4 linked regions of the Ovis aries genome follow. The protein of the gene in region 1 interacts with the protein of each later gene in a pairwise test. Links are inferred from orthologs where the notes say so. Each region holds a gene or a part of one and is shown in the gene's direction. Other genes may lie near its edges.

Evidence for each region.
Region 2: the proteins of RBBP8 (region 1) and RBL1 interact in a two-hybrid assay, tested with the Homo sapiens proteins (2 studies listed by BioGRID and IntAct). The link is inferred for Ovis aries from reciprocal best matches to the Homo sapiens genes RBBP8 and RBL1.
Region 3: the proteins of RBBP8 (region 1) and RBL2 interact in binary tests that used the Homo sapiens proteins (3 or more experiments, as listed by UniProt). The link is inferred for Ovis aries from reciprocal best matches to the Homo sapiens genes RBBP8 and RBL2.
Region 4: the proteins of RBBP8 (region 1) and RB1 interact in a two-hybrid assay, tested with the Homo sapiens proteins (2 studies listed by BioGRID). The link is inferred for Ovis aries from reciprocal best matches to the Homo sapiens genes RBBP8 and RB1.

The regions. Positions count from the first base shown.
Region 1 is NC_056076.1:34,018,567-34,022,997, reverse strand, and holds the start of RBBP8 (DNA endonuclease RBBP8), read left to right. Parts: upstream 1-1,534; 5' UTR 1,535-1,700; intron 1,701-4,431. UniProt on the Homo sapiens protein: Endonuclease that cooperates with the MRE11-RAD50-NBN (MRN) complex in DNA-end resection, the first step of double-strand break (DSB) repair through the homologous recombination (HR) pathway.
Region 2 is NC_056066.1:66,021,549-66,025,301, reverse strand, and holds part of RBL1 (retinoblastoma-like protein 1), read left to right. Parts: intron 1-1,744; coding exon 1,745-2,011; intron 2,012-3,076; coding exon 3,077-3,288; intron 3,289-3,753. UniProt on the Homo sapiens protein: Key regulator of entry into cell division. Directly involved in heterochromatin formation by maintaining overall chromatin structure and, in particular, that of constitutive heterochromatin by stabilizing histone methylation.
Region 3 is NC_056067.1:21,291,260-21,295,704, forward strand, and holds the start of RBL2 (retinoblastoma-like protein 2), read left to right. Parts: upstream 1-1,407; 5' UTR 1,408-1,510; coding exon 1,511-1,750; intron 1,751-4,445. UniProt on the Homo sapiens protein: Key regulator of entry into cell division. Directly involved in heterochromatin formation by maintaining overall chromatin structure and, in particular, that of constitutive heterochromatin by stabilizing histone methylation.
Region 4 is NC_056063.1:18,457,786-18,462,239, forward strand, and holds the start of RB1 (retinoblastoma-associated protein), read left to right. Parts: upstream 1-1,564; 5' UTR 1,565-1,766; coding exon 1,767-1,894; intron 1,895-4,454. UniProt on the Homo sapiens protein: Tumor suppressor that is a key regulator of the G1/S transition of the cell cycle. The hypophosphorylated form binds transcription regulators of the E2F family, preventing transcription of E2F-responsive genes.

The DNA.
Region 1 (4,431 bases):
AGATAGGAAAGACTATTTCTAAATGTGCAAGTATAATGAAAGAGTAAGAATAAATCTCATATGATCTCCCTTAATACAAACCAATTTCTGTCAAAATGTGATCTTGTGTACAAATGAACTTAATTACAAAATAGAAACAGACTCAGAACAAACTAACAGTTACCAGGGTGGAAGACTGAGGGGATAGGATAGCTAGGGACTTTGGGATGGACATGTACACTTTGCAGTATTTAAAATGGATAACTAACAAAGACCTACTGTACAGCGCAGGGAAATCTGCTTAACATTCTATGGCAGCTTGGATGGGAGGGGAGTTTGGGGGAGAATGGATACATGTATATGTATAGCTGAGTCACACTGCTGTCCACCTGAAACTATCACATTGTTGATTGGTTATGTTGTTATTGTTTAGTCACTAAGTTGTGTCTGATTCTTTGTGACCCCATGGACTGTAGCCTGCCAGGCTCCTCTGTCCGTGAAATTTTCCTGGCAAGAATATTAGAATTGATTGCCGTTTCCTTTTCTAGGGATCTTCCTGACCCAGGGATTGAATCCGCATCTCCTGCATTGCAAGCAGATTTACCACTGAGCCACTGGGGAAGCCCATGAAAAGTTAAAACAACTTGTGATCTTGGAAGTGATGTTGCTTACTTCCTCCCCCCAAAGGACCAACAGACAAGCTTCACTGGGAACCTGGACATTTTCCCCATCTCTTACCAAATTTGTCCTTTTTCGCCATTGTAACCCTGGACCTGGCACAGTCTGGCACATAGTAGTTATCAAGAATTTGCATTCCACTGTTGACTATCCAAAGAAAATCCTCTCTAAGTTGTCCCAGTACATAGAACAGGAGTTTTTCCAACTTTAGACTGGAATGGTATGAGGCTCTTTGAGTACAAGGAAGGTAACACCCCAAGCAAATGTTGGGTCCACCCACAGCTTGTTTTCCTCCCTCTAGAAATGCTTCCTTCAAACTCTCAGGGCCACTGCCCTCGTGGGGAATACAAACACCCCCTCAAGGCTGAGCTAGACCAAGTGGACCGGTGGAAAGGCCAGGCATTATGGATTCTTCTTCACTGTAATCTCTTTCTAGAGGCTTTAGTCCGAAGAGCCTTGAAGTAAATTTTAAAAAAGGATTACCTACCTCTGAGGATGAGATATACTCAAGTTATCTACAATGAGAGGTTTGTAACAATGGACTCTTGCTGTACCTGACACAGATCTTCCCCTCCCACTGGGACTCTGAATTATTTTGCTGCAGGCTACAACATTCTGAGCAGTATGTTGGGAGTTGACGGGAGGTGGGGATAACTCACCTGTATGAGCTTAGCAGAGCTGAGCCGCTGCAGCTTGTTGGGCTAGCCTTTGATGCAGACTGGTTGGACAGGTTCTGGATCTACAGAAGAACCGGTCTGACTGGCCTGTTGTGCCAACATATTCTGGTTTGATTCCATGTTCCACAGACGGCAGAAACCTGCCCAGCCAGTTAAATGAAAGGCAGATTAGGTTATCCATTGCACACCTTATATAGCTTAGATGCAGCAGAACTCTTCCACACAGCAGTGGTGTCTAGCAGACTCTAGCATGGTCCAGAGAGGTGTCTCCCACTGATTACTGTGTAAGTTCATAGCTTCAGGGAAAGTCCGCAGTGAAACACCTGCTTTTGACCAAGAGCAGAAGTTTTCTAAATAAATTGAAGGGTAAGTTAATATATTTTTTTATCTTTCTCAATTTTCTATGTACTTTTAGAAGGTTAAGAAATTAAGTTTAAGATGATATCTTTTTAACATGGCAATACCTGCATTGCCTCTTTTATATAAATTTGCTTAAATGTTGTTTTATAGTACTTGCATACATATATTTTCATTGATTTGTTTGAATAAAGATTACTTGGCATATAATATACTTTTCTATACTTTTTTGGTAAGTCATGCATGGCTATGGTCATTAAGAAAACTGGGTTGAATAATTTTGCTAAATATATTTCACCTATTAATGTAATGATTCATCTTAAGCCATCTACTCCTTTGATAATATACTATTATGTTTTACAGGCTGTTGCTATATGGTAACATTTTATATGGCAAATCTAATTGTGGATAAAATAATGACTGCCTTTTTAAGGCATTAAAAAAAAAAACAGTGTTATTCTTCTTGGTGATCCTCAGCACATTAAAAGAACAATTCACAGCAAGTGAGGAGTGCGAAAAACAAAGACTGTGGAATCTGGTAACTGATTAACTATTGGAGCTCAAAAGCACTTGCTGAGCTGAATAGAAAGGAATGAAGACAGGTTTTGTCATGTCTATTAGGTCTGAAAACCTTTTTAGGTTAAAGAATATTTAGATCTTCTTTTAGTTTATATTTTAAAATAATTATTTTACCTCTCTTTTTCATTGATCCAATTAATTTATCTTAGTAATTTGTGTTATTTAAAATGAAAGTTACCAATCCCTTTAGATTTATGTTGGCATACCAACCTACTCCTTAGTTATTAGTATTAGATTGAACTGAATGCACACATCTTCTGGGCAATTTAATATAACAGCTGAAATATGAACTTTATTGTAGAATTAAAAATTACTTTAAAAAATAGATTTAAATACTTTCCTCTCAAAGACTATCTGCAGATCATCATATGACTCACTTTGAACTGAGCAAGACTGATGCATTCTTTTCACTGTCCCTTTAGAGTCTTCACTTTGTCATTATTTTCAAATTCAAAGGCTTTAAGAGTTTCCTCAAGATGATACTAAAGAATTTTTTTTTTAAGTGAGTAAATGTTCAGATGAGATTCAGTTTTTGCAGGGAAACCTTTTAGATGCTTGCCTACTCCAAGGCAATTCTGCATAAAGCTTCTGATATTCAGCTGAATTTATAAAAAGCTATGTAATGTTGAATCTGCAAAAGGAATGTGCTGATTCAGCAAAGCAAAAAATTAATTTTATTCAGCATAAACTATAGTATGACAATTTTTGAAGAAAATATGGATCAAAAATTTCAGTTGATTGAATTTTTCTCTTTAAAATTAGTTTTCAGGCTAAATATAGATATATGTCAATAGCGTATACTTACACTGTTTCTGGTAAATACCTAGTAACTTAAAATTTTTAAATCTTACTATATTTATAATACAGAGCTTATTCTTTAAAGATAAACGTGATTTGGGATTCCACCTTATTTACTAGGTATTTTTTATGTTTATGGTTTTGAGGAAAGCTATTTAGGAAGTAGATATATATTTCATACAAAATTTGTGGGTAAAATTTCAAGTCTAATGCTACATTTTGGAGAGGGAGTCTTCAGTTTTCACTTAATGAAATTTTTAGTTTCAAATCTATGATTTCCTATTAAATATGACTTTTATATATTTTCCATAAATTGATTCCTTTAAAATATTGATACATTGTGATAACTTTGATTAAAATTAAGGATATACAGATTTATCAATCAAATTAGGAATCTGTGTATGCATCTATATTTTATATAGCCCTGCATTATCTGAGGTCCTAGGTCAAAAACTGTTCTAGTCATTTAATAACCTTTTTACTCTCTAAGTCTAGCTGGGGATGCATTTCTTTATCTTTACTGCTGGCCACACAATTTCACACAATGACTCTTCTTGTCAACCATGCTAGCTTTCTTAACACCTATAACCTTCTTCTTTCCTGAATGTATTCATGGGTTTCCTATCAAAAGCGCTTAGAATCATGACATTTCTGAGCTAGAAGGACTCTTTAAGAATAACTGATGAATTCACTTTTTAGTTGAATGAAAAGCCCCAAAATGTAGCTGAATAACATAGTCTAAGGGTAGAGGTGGTACTAGACCATCCCAGCTTCCTGATACCAGCCCAGACTAATATTTTTTCAGCACTCTACAATGATTCTTCTGAATACTACATAAAATCTACTCTGTGTTCTAAAAGATTCATAAAAAGGTAAAATTGTATAAATTATGTTAAGGAGTATCTGCTGAACCAAGAAACTCTTTGCTTTTGTATTTTAATCTATTTAATTACTGCCCCTGAACTTTTTTGGTATAGTAGTCAAATTTATGGGATTGCCATTGGTAAGCAAGATGACTACCTCTTCAAACCCTAATCTCATAAGACCAACACAAAATGTTGTATCAAACTGATGAGTATCTCATATTACTCCATCTTTATCCAGATTATTTGTGGATAGTGCTGTCATTTTTTAACTTATTATTACTTTATACTGTTTCAACTGTTTATTTTCTTAGTATGTGTATAAGTATATATGTATTTTTGTATTGTTTTAGTCACTCTTACATGGATACAGTTTAGGATTTGCCTAAGAAGGTTGTACTTCTAAAATTTGGTTAGAACTGACAAAAACATTCCAAAAAGTATATGAAGCCCAGGATTACAGGACTCAAAACCCATCTTAAAGGTGAGAGAACCTGTTA
Region 2 (3,753 bases), on another chromosome or scaffold:
CTCTTTGTGACCCTGTGGACTGTAGCTCTCCAGACTCCTCTGTCCATGGGATTATCCAGGCAAGAATACTGGAGTGGTTGCCATTTCCTCCTACAGGGGATATTCCTGACCCAGGAATCAAACCAGCCTCTCTTATGTCTCCTTCATTGGCAGGCGGATTCTTTCAATACTGAGCCACCTAGGAAGCCCTGAGCAAAGGTTTTTGAGCTTAATATGCATTACCTGAGAGGCAGGGTTCCCAGAGATGGGCCATTATGGATAATTTAAGCTTATAGGCAACATCTCTTTAGTGACTAACCTATAATAAAGGTTCTTCCCTATTATATGGCAGTAGGATTTTGCAGTGAAGTGAGATTAAGTTCAACTCCTAGTACAAAAGAGAAAGTAGGAATTTAGCTGATGGGCGTTTGTGTTATTTCTACCTGTTGGCTTTTATGAATATCACTGATGTGAGCATTCAGGTAATATATTATTTTTATAATTAGAAGAAAATTATTTTCTTGTAGGGGTTCATGCAAGAGAATCAAATAATAGAAAATCCTTAGAAAACAATAATATTGAGCCTTGACTCTAGTGGGGAAAAGACAGTTTATTAATTTGTATAGTTACTAAATTTTTATTGAATGTCTACTGAAGCTTTTCCAGTACTGTGCTAGGCAAAGAATCATTTCAAGGGGTTTGCAGCTAACTTGGTGGTTATAACATGCATTTTCCCCCTTGAAATGTCAGCTCTGAACATTCCTAGTTAGCTTCAAGGACTACATTGGTTTTCTTAGAAATAAGACATAAAGGTAGACTTCTGTTAAGGAGTAATGGGCTACAATAGAACTTCCCACTTGTTTGCTAAGGCTGCAAGTCAGAGCTGCTTTCATAACCCCCAGAATTAAGAAGAGATTTTTATTAAACCATAACTATTTCCCCAGTTACCTCAGAAATACAGAGTTGTCAAATTATTGCCAGAGGTAATTTTTATACCTTATAAACATGTTTTGAAAATAGATGACATGTCTGTTACACGCTAATGCCTCAAATTAAGCGTCATAACACTTCTATTCATCTTCTAGTGGGTTTGTAAAAGATGGTTCTGTGTCTGCTAAATCAGAAAGCCAAAGCTATTGCCTTAAACTGTTTGACGTGTAGATGTGTGGGAAGAGAGAAAATTGTGAACCAAATCACTGATTTTTCCTTTTTATCGGGAGGAGACAGAAGTTAGTTGGACTACTTTTCTAATTTAACAGTCACTGCATTCTACCTCTCAGCTTCTACTTTCCCCATAATATTTTGGTTCTTTAACGTAGGCAGAGGTTCAAGAAACCAGGAAGGTTAGCTATTGTAATTTTATTTTAAGATTTATTTCATTCTTCTCTCTCCCACTAGATTCGATATTGCATGAGGACAAAGGCTGTTATTTTAGCATAGTAACTCAGTATCTAGGGCTTTCCTGTTGGCTCTGTTAAAGAATCCACCTGCAGTGCAGGAGACACAGAAAATGCAGGTTCAGTCCCTGGGTCGGGAAGATCCTTGGAGGAGGGCATGGCAGTCCACTCCAGAAATCTTGCCAGGAAAATCCCATGGATAGCGGAGCCTGGCAGACTACAGCCCATAGGGTTGCAAAGAGTCAGACACGACTGAAGCGATTGAGCACACAGTGTAACACAACTCAGCATCTGTTGAACGAGTGAGTAAACCTGATTGTGTCTGTTTGAAATACAAGTCAGACTGTTAAAATTTTTCTCTTTATTAGATATGCAACCATTGTCTCCGATTTCTGTCCATGAACGCTACAGTTCTCCTACTGCTGGGAGTGCTAAGAGAAGACTTTTTGGGGAAGACCCCCCAAAGGAAATGCTTATGGACAGGATCATAACAGAAGGAACAAAATTGAAAATTGCTCCTTCTTCAAGCATCACTGCTGAAAATATATCAATTTCACCCGGGCACAGTCTTCTAACAATGGCCACAGCCATAGTAACAGGGACAACAGGACATAAAGTTACAGTCCCATTGCATGGTAATATTTTGATGCATTTATTTTTTTTTGAAATGAATAAAAATTTAAGAAATGTCTTATTGAATTATATCACATGGTCTTATTACTCCTGTATTTTCTCCCGGACCTGTACTCTTTTTCCTCTAGGAGTAGTTTTAGGTTCATGGCAAAATTGAGTCTTTCTTGCCATCAGTATCCTGCACCAGACTAGCTCATGTATTACAACTGATGAACCTTCATTGTCACATCATTATCACTTTAAGTCCATAGTTTACATTAGTGTTCACTCTCGGTGTTGTACATTCTATGAATTTTGCAAATGTCTAATGACACATATCTACCATTATACTGTTATACAGAATAGTAACACTGCCCTAAAGCTCCTCAGCACTCCCCCTTTAGTTTTGTTTTGAATGTATAGAGGCTTTCCTCATTTTATTGCACTTTGCTTTATTGAACTTTACAGATAACTTTTTTTTCTACAAATTGGATTTGTGGCAACCTTGTGTTGCTGGGTGATGATTAGTATCTTCTTAGCAACAAAGTATTTTTTAACTGAGGTACATACACTTTTTTGAACATAATGCCCATAACACACCCCATAGACTGCAGTATAGCAAAAGCATAATTTTTATATGCCTTGGAAACCAAAAAATTCATGTGAATCATTTTATTATGATATTCACTTTATTGTGGTTCTCTGGAACCAAACTCTTAATATCTCTGAGGTATACCTGCACAGTTTTTTGAATTTTCATATTTTATGGATTTACTACTCTGTTAGGAGTTAGTTTCTTACCTGAGTTTTACAAATGAGTGCGTTGAGCAAGAATTTTGTTTAATGGTTAAAAACATCTCCCTTAGACCACCAAAGAGAACAGTATTATTGTTTCAGAGCAGAAATAGAAAACAAAAATATTATAACCTAGAATTACTATTTTTGTGGCTTTCTTCTTCTACCATTACTATGCACAGATAGATAGTAAACAAGAAGAGGGAGGGAGGGAGGAATGAGCGAAGAAAGAAGTATTGATAACTTTTCTGGGACACATTTCTAAAACTAAGAACTCTTGCTTGTACATTCAGGTATTGCAAATGATGCTGGAGAGATCACACTGATACCAATTTCCATGAATACAACTCAGGAGTCCAAAGTTGAGAGTCCTGTATCACTTACAGCTCAGTCATTAATTGGTGCTTCTCCAAAGCAGACCCATTTGACCAAAGCACAAGAGGTACATCCAGTTGGAATAAGCAAACCAAAGAGAACTGGGTCCTTAGCACTGTTTTATAGAAAGGTATGTATTTTTATAGCATCTAAAAAGATCTCCTTTAATCAGTGCAATAAAGATTGAGTAACAGAGGACAGCTTTGGCCTTTTTTTTGTATGTGGTAAAATATACATAAAATTTACTATTTTAACCATTTTTAAGTGTACAGCTAAGTATCATTAGTACATTCACGTTGTTGTGCAGTTTCCACTACTGTCCATCTCCGGAGCTTTTTCATCTTCCTAAACTGTAATTCTGTACCCATTAACAGTAACTCATTTCTCCCCTCAACCCCCAGTCATCATTCTAATTTCTGTCTCTGTGACTTTAGCTACTCTAGGTACCTCATAAAAGTGAAATTATACACTTTTTGTCCTTTTATGATGGGCTTATTTTACTTAGCATAATGTTGTCACAGTTTATCCACATTTTTGCATGTGTCAGAATTTCCTTCCTTTTTAAGGCTAACATTCCATGGTATGAATATACCAT
Region 3 (4,445 bases), on another chromosome or scaffold:
GAGTGATGGGATAAAATGTTTTCATCGTTTTCACTGATGTCTATGGCTTTAATCTATCTTTGATAATAGGCTACCCTAAGTGACCTGGGCTTCCTTGCAGTAAGGTGGCTGTGTTCAAAGGGTCAAATGAAGAGAGAGAAAAGTGACCTCATAGCAAAACAGCAGTGCCTTGGGCTCCTGGAGCAGGAAAACGTTTTATACTATCAGTTCAGTTCATTCGCTCAGTCATGTCTGACTCTTTGTGACCCCATGGACTGCAGCATGCCAGGCCTCCCTGTCCACCACCAACTCCTGGAGCTTACTCAAACTCATGTCCATTGAGTCAGTGATGCCATCCAACCATCTCATCCTCTGTTGTCCCCTTCTTCTCCTGCCTTCAATCTTTCCCAGTATCAGGATCTTTTCCAATGAGTCATCCCTTCTCATCAGATAGCCAAAGTATGGGAACTTCATCTTCAACATCAGTCCTTCCAATGAAAATTCAGGGTTGATTTCTTTTAGGATTGACTGGTTTGATCTCCTTGCAGTCCAACAGACTCTCAAGAGTCTTCTCCAACACCACAGTTCAAAAGCGTCAGTTCTTCGGTGCTCAGCTTTCTTTACGGTCCAAATCTCAAATCCATACATGACTACTGGAAATAGCTTTGACTAGATGGACTTTTGTTGCAAAATAATACTCCTACTTATTAATACTATACTCCTGTATAAACCAAAGCGGACTGGAAATAATGTGATTCATATAGATTTGAAGAGAAAGCAAAGAAAAATGAAGTTTTGAGAACAGAACAAATATGTCACTTAGGGGTAAATGTAAATTCACCCTATGGGGGGAAAATTAATTACTCCTTTAAAAAAATCAATCAATTTTTTGAAAGTCTCACATAAAATTAAAACACAGAAAAGGAGAATTCCCTGGCGGTCAACTGGTTAGGACTCTGCTTCCATTGAAAGGGGCGCTGGTTGAATCCCTGACCGGGGAAATAAGATATCACAAACCACTGCAGCTCGGACAAAAAATAAATATAGGAAAGAACTAGAATTTGTAAGAGTGATGCCAAAATTTGAATTTAGGCAGACAGGCCCTTTCTATTACCTTGGTTTTTCAGATTAGGACACGCAGGTGGTAAGTATTATTTCTGAGGACACTTTGAACACTAAACCTTCACGTGTCAACGTTTCTTAGATACTTTCTCTTCAGTACAATCCTGCTGAATGGGTCTCCCGATGAAGAGGTACTTGAAATGCAGAGAAGCCGGTTTTACCTCAGGCCAAGGGAGAGGACGCGAGATGACTTTTTTTAAATATGATTTTTGATCCCCGTGGGTCTCCGGCCTGGACTACATCTCCCACCAGGCCGTGCTCCGAACTACGGGTGCCGGCTTGAGGTCCAGCGCCGTTGGCGGCGGCGCAGTCGCCGAGAGGGCGGCCGACCGGCGGGCGCTTCGCGGTTTGAATGGCTGTGGGCCCGGGCCCTCGGCTCACCTGAGGACCTGCCGCACAGGTGTACGCTATGCCGTCGGGAGGCGACCAGTCGCCGCCGCCCCCGCCTCCCCCTCCGGCGGCGGCGGCCTCAGATGAGGAGGAGGAGGACGATGGCGAGGCGGAGGACGCCGCGCAGCCGGCCCGGTCGCCGGCCCCTCAGACCCAGCAGCGGTTTGACGAGCTGTGCAGCCGCCTGAACATGGACGAGGCGGCGCGGGCCGAGGCCTGGGAGAGCTACCGGAGCATGAGCGAGAGCTACACGCTGGAGGTGCGCCGGGGAAAGGAGACCAGCGGTTTTCGGGGCCTAGCGGTCCCGCCCCGCCGCGGGGGATGGGGGCCCTTCTCTCTCCGGCTCGGGAGCCCCGCGGGGGAGCTCCCCAGGTCAGCCCCGGCTCTCCCGGTCCCCAGCCTGGAGCGGGAAGGGAGTCCTTTCTGCCCACTTTCGTCCTGGAAACCTGGCTTTTGAAAAGCCCTTAGCTGTCCTAAAAGTGAACCCTGTCTCGGTGCTCTTCCCTCTCCGGTTCCGAAGGGGGAACAGCCTTTGCCCTGAATTAGCACCTCGAGGCTGAGGTCGTGCTGGGGTCTGATTACAAAAATACAGCCATCTGGTTGGCAGACTGAACAGGTGCAGTTGTCAGGACCGTACTCAAAAGGGATGGGGGTGTGGGGCTTGCCTGCGCTAGCACTGAAATTAACCCGATTTTAGCGTCTGCGTTTCCAGGCTTCTCCTCAAGTTCTTTGCAAGCTGTACCTAATTGCCTTTGGTCCAGGCATTGCCATTTGAGTAAATGCATTACGTTTCGGGCTGTGTTTGTGTATTTGTAAACAAAGAAGAATCTTCCCGTGAGCGGATGAAACGGGCTTTCTGCCTACCTGGATATAGACTCTTATCTGTCTCTAGGAAGTCAGGACTGCGGCGATCTTGAGGACTTATTGGTCACCCCAGACACTGCACAGGATTCTTAAGAGTCGCTGTCATCTGGACATGTTTTGTCCCTTTCTTCGGACGGGGCTTGCAATTAAGAAAAATGGCCATTCTAGCCAGTGAGGTTCAACTCTGTAGGCACCTCCCCTTTACGGGCCAATGGGAAGTGACACGGAAGTGTGTATTGTTTATCCGCTGTCTAACTGCCCCATGGGAGTGATATTTAAACTGCAAGCCATATGATTTTCTGAAGTTGTTTAATAGTTTGTGGAAAGAGTAGGGCAAATAGGCTCAGAATGGGAAGGCTAACAGATGTGTTTTAACTGTAATACGGTGTTTTTGCCTGTGTGGCACTCACTAAATTTATTCCTATTATTTCTTATTCTTGCATTAATATAATTTTAATTTAGTTACATCTAGAGTGGGGGAGGGTAGCTAGATATGTACTGGCTTTAGAACCTGACAGGCCTTGGTGACTTCGGGCAATTTACTTAACCACTCCAAACTCAGTTTTGTGATATGTCAATTTGAGGTATGTGTACCTACTTTACACAGCTGTTCTGAAGGTTAAGTAAGGTAATGTGGAATTTCTGGAGCGTAAAGCATTCATGGAGACTGCTTTAGAATTTACAAAGCTCTTTCACATGCTTAGGTGATATGACTGAATAGGTCAGGTCAGTTCAGTTCTGTTCAGTCACTCAGTTGTGTCCGACTCTTTGCGACCCCATCAATCGCAGCATGCCAGGCCTCCCTGTCCATCACCAACTCCGGAGTTCACTCATGTTATTGTTTATTTCCTAGTGGTTCCTGTGACAAAAGAGAAGGACTATTTTTGGTGATGGGCATAAGTGCCTCCAAATAAGCTCTTATTTTACCCTCAGGGTAACCTTGTAAATTAAATAGAAAAAGCATAATTATACACTTTTTATGTTTAACTCACAGTGGTTAAGTCATAGGAAGCCCGGGGTTATATAAACAAGTGACAAATAATAGATGGTTCAGTTCAGTTCAGTCGCTCAGTCGTGTCCGACTCTTTGCGACCCCATGAATCGCAGCACGCCAGGCTTCCCTGTCCGTCACCAACTCCCGGAGTTCACTCAGACTCACGTCCATCGAGTCAGTGATGCCATCCAGCCATCTCATCCTCTGTTGTCCCCTTCCCCTCCTGCCCCCCAATCCCACCCAGCACCAGTCTTTTTCCGATGAGTCAACTCTTTGCATGAGGTGGCCAAAGTACTGGAGTTTCAGCTTTAGCATCATTCCTTCCAATGAACACCCAGGACTGATCTCCTTTAGAATGGACTGGTTGGATCTCCTTGCAGTCCAAGGGACTCTCAAGAGTCTTCTCCAACGCCACAGTTCAAAAGCATCAATTCTTCGGCACTCAGCTTTCTTCACAGTCCAATTCTCACATCCATACATGACCATAGGAAAAACCATAGCCTTGACTAGACGGACCTTTGTTGGCAAAGTAATGTCTCTGCTTTTCAATATGCTGTAGGTTGGTCATAACTTTCCTTCCAAGGAGTAAGCATCTTTTAACTTCATGGCTGCAGTCACCATCTGCAGTGATTTTGGAGCCCCCAAAATAAAGTCTGCCACTGTTTCCACTGTTTCCCCATCTATCTCCCATGAAGTGATTGGGACCAGATGCCATGATCTTCATTTTCTGAATGTTGAGCTTTAAGTTAACTTTTTCACTCTCCTCTTTGACTTTGATCAAGAGGCTTTTTAGTTCCTCTTCACTTTCTGCCATAAGGGTGGTGTCATCTGCATATGTGAGGTTATTGATATTTCTCCCAGCAATCTTGATTCCAGCTTGTGTTTCTCCCAGGCCAGCGTTTCTCATGATGTACTCTGCATATAAGTTAAATAAGCAGGGTGACAATATACAGCCTTGACGTACTCCTTTTCCTATTTGGAACCAGTCTGTTGTTCCATGTCCAGTTCTAACTGTTGCTTCCTGACCTGCATATAGGTTTCTCAAGAGGCAGGTCAGGTGGTCTGGTATTCCCATATCTTTCAGAATTTTGTGATC
Region 4 (4,454 bases), on another chromosome or scaffold:
AAATGATAATCCATTGTATGGCCCACAGGGATAAACCCAAGAGCTACCACTTGCCTGAAGGCATTGGCTGCCTCAGCCCTGCTCAGCTGTTCCAAGGATGAGGGAATTCACGTCAGAACACAGCTGTATTTTATTCATAGCACCTCAGTTGGGAAGCTCCTAGCGGGCAACCCACAGCATCTGCCAGTGATACAAAAGCAGATACTCAAACTAGGCAATCTATTAGCATAAGTAAATACCAAGAGACAGGAGACACAGTTTCTAAGTCAATGTTTGGCCATAGTAATTCCTGCAAACTCTTTTCTGGTGTCTTTGTGCCTTGCACATGCTATTTCTCTCTTCTTGGTGTTTTCTTTAACACAACGTATTGGCTCAGACGGTAAAGCGTCTGTCTACAACGCGGGAGCCCTGGGTTCGATCCCTGGGTTGGGAAGATCCTCTGGAAAAGGAAATGGCAATCCACTCCAGTACTATTGCCTGGAAAATCCCATGGACAGAGGAGCCTGGTAGGCTACAGTCCATGGGGTTGCAAAGAGTCGGACACGACTGAGCGACTTCACTTCACTAATGGATAAGTAGAGTCACATATATCTCAGTTCAAAACCTCTACCACCCATCGGCTGTGTGTGTTTGTGTGTGTGTGTGTGTGTGTGTAAGTAACTCAGTCGTATCTGATTCTTTGCGACCCCATGGACTATAGCCTGTCAGTCCATGGAATTCTCCAGGCCAGAATACTGGAGTACTGGGCAAATGAATTAACTCCTCTGAGCCTGTCTTCCCTATCCAAAGTGTAATACGACTACAACTCATTTTAAAGGGCTGTTTCTGAGGATTCGGTAAGATAATGAGATAAAATGGCCAGAACAATCCCCTGTGCACATAGTAAGTCCTCCTTAGATGTGAAGTCCGTCTGGCAAACTTCTACTCAAATGCCCCTGCTCCTCTGAAGATGTCCTTAAGGCGTTTCGATGGTGCTTCCTGGTTTTACGCTACTATTAAAACCGCGCAGCACCTTGTCATCAGTTCTTTGCCCGCAGCCCCCACCCCTCTTCCCTCAAAGAACTCTCAAAAGGCCAGTTTCGTCGTCCCGTACTTGGTCTCCGCTGGTAGTGGGCAAAACCCAGCTCCTCATAGGTGTCCCAGAGGCAGTTTGTTTTTGTTTTGGCTGACTTCGCTTAACGGATTGGGCGGGAGGAGCGCGGGCGAGCGGGAGGGCGCCGCCCACGGAGGAGAGGGGCGTGCCCGCCCCGGGTGCGCTCGCCCGATACTCCCCGGCGGGGGCCTCGGCCGCAGCCCCGGACCCACCCGGCTATAGCGAGGGAGCCCGCGCGCACCCACCGGGCCGGGTAGCGCCCTTACCCGGCCACCCACGCCCGCAGGGGCGAGTTTCGAGGCGAGGCAGGCTGAGGCGGCGGCGGCGGCCGCTGCCTCCGGGCGGGCGCCTGGGTTGCAGGCCCGGGGCTGCCCGCCCGCCCGGCGCGCGCCTCGCCTCGCCTCGCCCAGCACCCCGGTGCCCTCCCGACGCCGGCGGGCCCGCGAGCCTCGCGGACGTGACGCCGCGGGCGGAAGTGACGTTTTCCCGCGGTTGGACGCGGCGCTCGGTTGCCGGGCGGGGGAGGGCCGGCCCGGTTTTTTTCTCAGGGGAACGTTCAAATTATTTTTGTAACGGGAGTCGGCCGAGGACGGGGCGTGCCCGAGGTGCGCGCGTCCTCTCCCTTCTCCGGCCCCACTCCAGCACCCGCCGGCGCCTGCCCTGCGAGCGCGTCATGCCGCCCAAAACCCCCCGGAGAGCAGCCGCCGCCGCCGCCGCCGCCGCGGAGCCCCCGCCGCCGCCGCCGCCCCCTGAGGAGGACCCCGAGCAGGACAGCGGCTCCGAGGACCTGCCTCTGGCCAGGTGAGCGGGCCGAGCCACCGGCGGCGGGCGGCGAGCGGGGAGGGCGCCCCGAGGCTGCGTCGGCGGCAGCCGCGGCGTCTAGGCGGGGGCGCGTCCCCGCGGGGCGCCGGTCCCGGCGGGAGGACGGTCCCCCCTCTACCACCCCTCGCGGCGGAGCGCCGGGAGGGAGCTGACAGGGGTCTGGGTGCGGGCGCCGCCTGGGAAGGGCGGCCGGGAGGGGGGTCTCGGCTCCAGCTTGACAGGTGTCGGGCGGGTGGGGCTCGGGTCGCTGAGCGAAGTGACAGGTGCCGCCTTTGCTCCGCGAGACGGCCCTGCGCATCCGGCGGGTGTTTCGAGACCCCATCACACGCAAAAGAGGAAAAAAAGAAAAGAACTAACTGGTGTTTGCTGGATAGGTTTTTTTCCCCGTTGAGATTTGTAGTCCTCCAGTGGTCTTTTGACTTTCTCTTTTGGTCTCTAGCGATGCAACAGTTGGAAGTGCCCCCCTCCCCCCACCGCCCCCGGGCGCGCAGCTGTATCTGAAGCCCAGTCCTGGGAGAGACAGTCAGAAAAGCCTTGGGTGCAGCGGCAGAGATGCCCGCGGACGTGAAGGGCAGGGTCCTGGGTGTCGGTTACCCCCCAGGAAGCTCGGCTGAGGCGCCTTGTGGCGTTCTCTTAGAAGGGGCTTTTCGGTCTTGGGGATTCATGGCCATAGGTAGTGACTGGTGGAACGTAACTCTTTAGAAAGAACTCGTACCTGGGCAAAAATATTGTGAGACGTTTAGCCCAAGAGCTTAAAAGTTCCTGAACTTTTCTCTTGTTTTCTAGAACTCTTCTTGCGTATTTTCGTTGGCTTCAGCGTGCCTCGTTATTTCTTCCATTTTGCCTTTCGGCTTTGAGCCAGCAAGGATCCTGGTGTCCTTGTTTTTTTTTGTTTTGTTTTGTTTTGTTTCGTTTGTTGGAGTACAAAACGAGTGTTTTTGTGCTCACGTGGAATTATTTTTCTTCTCGTAAGTGGATTCTAAATTTTAAGCAAGTCTACGATAATGCAGTGGAACTTTGACAGGAAGATAATGTATTGCAACATCTTATTTTTCTTGATTGTGATGCTTTATGGTTAGAACCAAAAATTGAACGAGTATAATTATCCATTATTATTGTCAGAGTTGGCCCTGCTTTGAGACTGCACATCAATTACAGGGAAATGGGACTCCTTTCTGTCTCCCTCCCACAGTCCTAGCCCATCAGCAGGCCCTATTTCTCTCACCTTCCCCTGCGCTAAGAGAATTCGGGACAAATTGTTAAAGATTGGGAAAAGCTTTTGGAAATGGCTTGTGAAAGGCTATTAGAAATTCATATATGACTGTCTTATCAATTAAAAATCATTCTCACTAGTGGGAAAAAAAAAGAAAGCCCAGGGATGTTCTAGGAGAAGACATTAGTTTCTGATTAAACTCTGATATGTCCAGTATTTTCCAGTTTCCTTTTGGTAAGAGCAGTGAAGTCTACTGCAAAGAACCCTGTGTTATCCACAGAGCTCGGAAGCATTCTTGAATATTGTGGAGTAACCAGAAATACTGAAGTTCTGGCCAGCACCTGGGAAAAGAAAGTCTTTTTTCCTTCTATTTTCCAGCATTTCATTTTATATACTTTAAATGATGAAACTATCACAAATTCTTTAAGTCAGAACCATGCAAGATAAAGTCTGTTCTTGATCTATCCTTACCCATAAAATGTGTCCTTATGGGCTATCAAACTACTGGTTAACTACTTAACAAAGATAGAACCACTGCCTGGCAGTCTGAAGCTGAGAACTTTACCTGGGGTGGGTTCAGGGCCCAGTCCAATTGCATTTCCAGTGATGGAGCCCATGCCTACTTTGAGAGTTGAGAGTTTACTTAAGGGAAACAGCACACCATCTTCATTCTTGAGATAACCAAAAGTTAATTATGTTTCAGAGAAGGGTTGGCAGTCTGGAATAGTGCTCAAGGGCAAGGATTATAGAGTTAGATTATTGGGTTTCTATCAGGGTTTCTGACATACTGTTTGTGATTTCAAGTGAGTGCTTTAACTTCTCTGATTTGGTATTTATCTGTAAAACAGGGTAAGAGGACTTACCTAATAGGCTGATGTGGGGATTCAGTCTACCTTCATCTAAGGTACTTTGTCTGGGATCATAATAAATACTAAAAAATTATTAGCGATTCCTTGTACTATTATTATTAGAGGTCAAGTAGACATTAACTGATTGAAAAAGAATTAGCCAAGAAGAGTTTTTTGTCTGCCTGTCTTGGTTAAGGAAAATCAGAAAGAAAGCTTGAATTTAATCATCATCTAAGAACTACTAGTAAGTAGATTAAATAAAACACTGTGAAGGGTAGACTGCATTTTAGCAAAAGTTAATGATATTGAATTGGTTTTGTAATATTATCTATTGCTTTCCTCTTGCTGTTAACCAACCCAACTTTCCCAGTTTTAGCTCTTGTACTTACTTTAAGCTACTTTGCTGCTCTGAAGTATGTGATTCACCAGACCAGCAAACATTTTTCACTGTGTGGTATTACCATTCTGGAAAGACTGA